2 linked regions of the Caenorhabditis elegans genome follow. The protein of the gene in region 2 purifies or fractionates together with the protein of the main gene of each other region. This does not show direct contact. Each region holds a gene or a part of one and is shown on either strand. Other genes may lie near its edges.

What was found. The genes of interacting proteins can lie anywhere in the genome.
Region 1: the proteins of mce-1 (region 2) and ZK154.1 fractionate together in Caenorhabditis elegans (co-fractionation; one large-scale study listed by BioGRID). This does not show direct contact.

The regions. Positions count from the first base shown.
Region 1 is NC_003284.9:7,777,773-7,781,135, reverse strand, and holds ZK154.1 (Apple domain-containing protein), read right to left. Parts: upstream 1,560-3,363; 5' UTR 1,511-1,559; coding exon 1,412-1,510; intron 1,343-1,411; coding exon 1,159-1,342; intron 1,058-1,158; coding exon 952-1,057; intron 903-951; coding exon 809-902; intron 763-808; coding exon 616-762; 3' UTR 529-615; downstream 1-528. Other genes in the region: ZK154.4 (uncharacterized protein), read left to right, coding at 446-523.
Region 2 is NC_003279.8:7,580,208-7,583,888, reverse strand, and holds mce-1 (Methylmalonyl-CoA epimerase, mitochondrial), read right to left. Parts: upstream 1,784-3,681; 5' UTR 1,769-1,783; coding exon 1,706-1,768; intron 1,632-1,705; coding exon 1,506-1,631; intron 1,163-1,505; coding exon 863-1,162; 3' UTR 556-862; downstream 1-555. Other genes in the region: ndub-7 (NADH dehydrogenase [ubiquinone] 1 beta subcomplex subunit 7), read left to right, coding at 2,266-2,379, 2,462-2,566, 2,672-2,824; D2030.3 (Fanconi anemia group I protein), read left to right, coding at 3,058-3,120, 3,201-3,615.

The DNA of each region.
Region 1 (3,363 bases), on a different chromosome or scaffold from region 2:
TACCAAATTGTATTGTAGCAATTGTTTTTCAGAACTCGTTAAACGTTATAGTTTAAATAGTATATTTTACACTTTTTTTGGAACATTTGATAATTATCAACTTTGTTTAAAACTTCATCTAGACAGAAACTAAAAACAAAAAATTCAAGGCAGAAGATTTCTAGTAATTTTGCAAACCACGTTTAATTAGAACTTGTCTAGTTCTCTTTTTTATAAATTCCGCATTTTAAATGTTTTCGTTTGGTAGTTTGAATCATAATCCCAGCAAGAGGAAAACATGTAGCATTCAATTTTTTCCCTTGCAAATTAGTCTCTGAAAATACAAACCAACTGAACTGAAGAAGTATTTGTACTGTGAAAATTGCAACGCAAAATAATTGTTTTTACAATGCATTCTGATATTAAAAATACTTTTTCCAAACTGGGAAAATTAATTTCTTTCCAGGTTGTCTTGGCCCCACGAGGCGGGTTCCGTGATACGGCTCCCAAGAAAAGCAGATTTGACTTTAACGAAGCAAATGTGGTGAGTTTGGGTTGGTTTATATATTTATTAGGATGTCAAAACAAACAATGTTTATACATAAATAAGAGGTACGCTGTAGATGAGATAACTAGTTAATTGAGGAGCTTCTTGTTGAGAAAATCGTCTTCATTTTTCACTTCCGTCGGTGCTTCTGTCGTTGTGACGCCGTTCTCATTAGCAGCCTTATCAAGCTTTCCCTTGATTACATTGAATCTCTTCTTTTCGAATTCACTCATCTCCTGTAACATGGAATAGTAAGAACAGTTAACTATATTAATGAATTACATCAATTTTGCAATGATCCCTTTCTGATTGATATTGGCAAACTTCAATTGTTACATCAACACGGGAGCTTCCGTCGCGTTCCATTTTAACGTCACTAAAAAGTGATTGTTATAGAAAATGCTAGTTAACTAGAGAATGCTTACCGAATGTAGTGGTTTGGTGCCAACACCGGATTGGTTCTGATGGATGGACCAAGGACGGAAATGGATTCGGTGTCTCTCCAGATACACTTTTCACGACCGCTGCTGTCTGCAAAACGCAACATTTTGGTCGTGTTAATCTTGCGATGGCAGCTAGTTTTTGAGTTTCTCGCCGATGTGAGTCTTAGTCACTTGTTACATTATCCTCACCTGTCTCCACTCTAGTAGCCAATGAAGCGCAACACAAAACCATCAAGGATTTCGAGTTGAGGAGAAGGCCAGAAACGAAAGTGCGACGTCCGCGGAAAGTGGAGAACGACGTATGTTCATTACATTGCTTGCGCCATTCGCATTGCACCGCACACGTATATGGGATGAATTTGGCACAGATCGCCTAAATTGCTGGCTTTTAGAAGAGTTTGATAATTAGAAAATTCTTAGAAGTATGAAAATTCTGACTTACATTTGTGGACTCGTATGAGAATAATTTCTGGCCAACATAACATTGAACTGCCGAATAGACAACAGTAGGAAGAAGACACGCTATTACCAATTTCAGCATGGTTCTGAAAAAAGCTTTTGAAATATGTGGTTATCTTGAATCCGATGGCAATTGAAAGAAGAAAAAAATGCAAACAGAATGGCAGAATGGGACGGGTTTGTAAATGAAATGAAGTTGGAAAAAGGGGGGGGGGGGGTGGAGATTCGTGAGATTCAAATCTTGCAATCTTTCACAAAAGGTGAATTCGTGAATTTGTGAAATAAAGGCGTGAATGATAGGGGAAAAGTGATTGTTATCCCGGTTTGGGTGTCTGGCCGGACGGGCATTCTTCAAACATCAAGCGATAAGACTAGTTTCCAGCTTCAGTGATATAGAACTGATTATACTACTAACGCGCGTTAGCTACTGTTTAGTTTGGCTAAGGTCGAGGTCAAGGAAAACTGGATCTTTAATTGCATCTTGGGACAAATACTTTTTTGTCCAGTGAGCCTGATTGTGTTAATATAGTTTAATAAAATTTTAGTGTAATGGCATCCGAGCAGATTTCACGCGCAGAAAAATATGAAGTGAATGGCGGATTATGAAGAAGTGAAGGGCTTCTCTGTGAACCTTAGAACCTGTTTCCGATGGCCGCGAGTTGTGCCCGCCCCTCATCATATCTGAATTTAACCTTTCATGGCCGCCCGTTTCGTAAACGTAAACATGCGCAGCAAAAGATAAGGATAGAAAGTGAATACAGATTCAAAAATGTGAAATCGAATGGCAAGTATCTTATCGTATAGTATTTTTCGTTTAACGAGGAACTAACAAGCCACCAAAAAAGCGGTATTTTTTATCTGGCATTCAGCTGGGGGTGGAGAACGTCATGAAATTACGTTAGGTACGCAACATGTATGACCATTTTACACGGTTGTACTATAGATGTTCTAAGAAAATTTGTATTGTAATATGTCATGAAAAATTCAGATAAGATAATTTGATGAACATACATTTCACGACGTTGAGCTTTTGATACATGGCTTTCAATTAAAGTTAAGCGCAAATTGCGTTCCAAACAGTATAGTAAATTTCAAAAAAATACCAAATTGAGGATTACATTCTAATTGAGAAAACAAGTTATTTAGTTTTTTATTCGATAAAGAAACGAAACAATTGTTCATGACGCTGCAAATGTTTGGAATGAAGTTAATTTTTGTTTTTTCTAATGCAACCAACTGCTCTCATTATTATTTCTTCTAACCGTATTGCACCCTACTACTTGACTTTTAACAGTTATCCTTCTGCTAACTTTAAATTAAAACCTGAAACAGATTGAACAATCTGTTTCAGGTTTCAAAAGCATTTTTTCATGAACGGATTAGTGCTGATATGTGAACAATCATAAACGGTACAATTTGATTTACTGTGGGCTTTTGAAGAGAGGAGATATACAAAAAAACATTGCTAGGAAGAAATCACCAATTCGATTTACAATATATATATATGGTCAACCTAAACGTAAAACATTGAATATTATAAAATCAAAATTAATTCACGATGGACCGTTTTTGAACATAACTTTTACAAGCTTCATCATGACAATGATAATATGACGATCTTATGATTTTGCTTTCACAGTGTGCGAGGAAACGAGTAAACAGAATAACGAAAGAAGAACAATATACTCGTTCTGCTAATCAGTGTAGTCGGTATTCGATTGTTCTCCTCCCCTAATTTTTTCCACGGAGAGTCCTGTTGAGAATGGATTCTTCAGCTAGCTTCAACAGCTTCTCCTTCTTCTTCTTGTCTTGTGTCTGTTTCTACTTCTCTATCTAGTTGTTCGTCAACTTTTTATGAATAGCCGCCAATCGGTCGGGACGGCGGCGCAAATTGCGGGAAAGAGATGCCGGGGACGCGCTTGACTCTTTTTTTTT
Region 2 (3,681 bases):
CGAACAATTCGCGCGCATCGATTGAAGAACCGAAAAAGGTCGTTTTCTAATTGGAAACGAGGGAGAGGAAAAGAGACTGAACGATGTTGAATAACTGAATAAAACTGTGAAACGATGTTTACCGAGCTTTTTCGCAAACACTTTGGACATCTTTGGATTGAAATTCTTTTCGTCTTATTTGGAAAAATATTTTTCTAAAAAAGAATTTCCCTCTTTCAAATAGGTGCGTAGTATATCCACTAGAATTTCAGGATTGACGGCTCAGGGACCATCTTATACTGATTATGTCATAGATGTAATTTTGTTTTTGATTTCTGATTATTGACATTCTTCGCTTAAGTCTGAAATTTCTAAGAGTGTAGTTCATACAGTTTTGATTTTCTTCTTTTTTTTCCAAATCCTAATCCACTGTAACTTTTCTGAAAATAGGTTTTTTTCATATTACCCATAAATTTTACATTCTTTTCTGATATGTTTTTTCGTAGTTTTTCGCTTTAAAATTCAAATTATATTTTTGAAAACATGTAAACGAATTTATATTTTGAAAATTTAATGAAACAATTTATTGAAGTTGTAGGCAATTATTATGGCACAAGAAACAATAAAACATGTGAACAGATTAAAACGTATCAAAAATTAATCTCTATGCAAAATACTGGGTGCTAAAAGAAAGGTTTATAGTTTTTTTTTTTGTAATTTATATCATATTATCGATTTTTCAAAAGTTATAGGCTGCCAATAAAAAATTTTGAGAGAACTTTTGCGAAATTTAAAATTTGTGAAGTTTCTCACAAAAAAGTGAAGATCAAAACTTTGTCAAACAGATAATATGATTGCTAGATTTTGGGAACAAAGAATCAAATTATTCCTGCTCGAGTTCAATAAGTACACCTCCACAATCCTTTGGATGCAAGAACATTACTTCTTTTCCATGAGCTCCAATTTTTGGTTTCTCACCCAAAGTACGAATTCCTTTTGTTTTAACAGCAGAAACAGCTTCATGAATATCACGAACTTCAATACAAATATGATGCATTCCACCGTCCTTATTCTTATTCAAAAAAGCTTGAATTGGAGATTTCTCGCCGAATGGATGAAGAAGCTCGATTTTTGAGTTTGGAAGCTCAACGAAGACAGTGTAGACTCCATGTTCTGGTTGTGGCTGTAATTATTCAATTCAAAAATTTTAATATAAACTAGATGAGACATTTTATTTTTTATTTGCGGATTTTTATCATTTTTATGAAAAAACTTGTAATTAAATAAATATTTTTCAAGTAAGTTTACTGTAGTACACAAAATTCGCTTCATTCGCATTTTATTTCATTTTTCAGTTGTAGGGGTTTTTCCAAAATTTTTCGTTTTTTGTTATGCTATTTCAAAATTTTAGGCTATTCAATTTTTATTTTGATTTATGCTACAAAGAATTTAACAAAAATATTTTCTACATATTTTTGCTCTAAATTTTTATTGACATTAGGAAGAAACAAAAATTAAAGACTAACCACAGCCTCGCTAACTTTTGCTCCGAGGCCCTTGTAGAATTCCGATGATTTCTTGAGATCTGGTGTGGCAATGGCGACGTGGTTCAACTTTCCGAGAAGTCCTGCCAATGGATGGGAAGCCATGGTCTGAAAAGTCAAAATTTTTAAAGTAAAAAAGCGATTATCTAATAGTTTTCATCAGAAAAAATAGAAAAACCTACTCTTGTGGACAGCGAAAGCTTAGCAGAATTGACAAGGGCGAGTGTAGAACGGAAGGATGCCATTTTCAAAAGAAGAATCTATAAACATGGTTACTGTACTTTAATAAAATTTATAAAACTCGAAAAATGCTAAGTAATAAGCGTTTAAATGATTGAAACATCTGTGAGAAAATGAAAAGTAACAGAAACAAACAAAAGTTTAGATAAGAAAATGTTTTTGACATTGAAAATTCGGTCAATGAACCCGCTGTAAACTTGCTTTTTGCACGCACTCACTTTGATTACAACGACACTCCGATATTACACAAGTGCTTGTTGTTTATCTTATTTTATTTCGGGCAATTTTTGTGCCAATTTTCAGCTTTACTTTGTTTTTAACGTTTTAGAAGAATATTTTCCGGAAAAATATGTTAAATTATTAAAATATAAATTGTTCACTTCTTATCAGCAAAGCATTCGCTGCCCTAAGCATGCTAATTATTTATTTTGAGTTGATTCAAATATCAGAAGAGTTTTGATGCTTTCTTTATTTTGTACCAATTCCTTTTTTTTCAGCCAAGATGGGAACTAAACTGTCCGTCTCATTGGAAGGAGCCAGTACACCAGAAACCGCGCCACGTGTCGACAGACCACCAACTTTCGATCCTCAGTATGGATTCGAGCGACCGAGAAAGGTAAACAACTTTTTTAAAAGTTCATTAAATAACTGTTCATTTAATTCATAAATATTCAATATAATAAAGTTTAATATTCAAGGTCCGCGAGATGAAGGCTACTTGGGAAGAGATGGAGCAGTGGAAGTTGAAGCCAGCTCAACGCGATTATTGTGCTCACCACTTGATTTCACTCATGAAATGCCAAGTAAGATTTTTGTTTTAGTTACAATGATATATTTTTAAAATTATATAAAAATACACATCTAAAATTATTTTCTCAAAAACAGCAAAAATAATTTATTATATTCAGACCCAAAATGCACCATTTGCCGGACACGCGTGCGACGGAGAACGTGGAGCTTGGGATAAATGTGAATATGATGATCATATCATGAGAATCAAAGAATTCGAACGTGAACGACGATTGCTTCAAAGACAGGCTCGCAAAGAAGCCACTGCTTGAATAGATGTCGATGAGATATTTCTTTAAATGATTTTTGATAATAGTATAGTTTTTTGTGAATACTATGTGTCTTTTGTTTCGTTTCTTTTTCTCTCGATTTCGGATAAATATTGAGTCGTACACTTTTTTTTAATGTTGAAAATTTTTTTGTTGTTCGTATCATTTGTAATATATCTATGCTATAATGATTCCGATTAGTTTTCCATATTATAATTTAAAAACACCTTTCAGAGATGACCGAAATCCGAAAAGTCGTCCAAGAAACAATGGTTGGAAAACCAGAAGACGAAATTCAGGTTAGAAATTGTCAAATTTTTTTGAATTATCTAAAAACCTACATATTCTGTCATGGATCCATTCATCAAATAAGTTTCAGACTTTCGAAAAATGTCTCCGTCTCGTTGGATCCAATCGAACACGTAAAGAACAAGAACTAGGATTTTGTCTTATGTCGAGAATGATCATCAAATGTTCTTCACAAACTCTACGAGCAGTTCAATCGCGATTGGCTAATCGACTTGCTCATATCTCGGATCATTTTCAATTATGTGGATCACTTTATACTCGAGAACTTCTTGTTAGAAATCCGCAAGCTGGAGAACTTCATTCTCCAATTGTATTCAAGATTATTCTTAATTGCATGGATGCTGCTGCACAAACAAGTGATCCCAATATTCGTGGATTGGCTGCTGAACTGTTTGGATTGAGAATTAGCAATCAGAATCTAACAATGTTGTTGAATACGCTTGAAGTTTTGTTGAGTGCAACCAAGATTAAAAATGTATCAAATGGTTAGTAATTTTATCAACAAAAAAAAGTACAACTCTATTGGCACGTAAAATCTGAATTTATTTTCA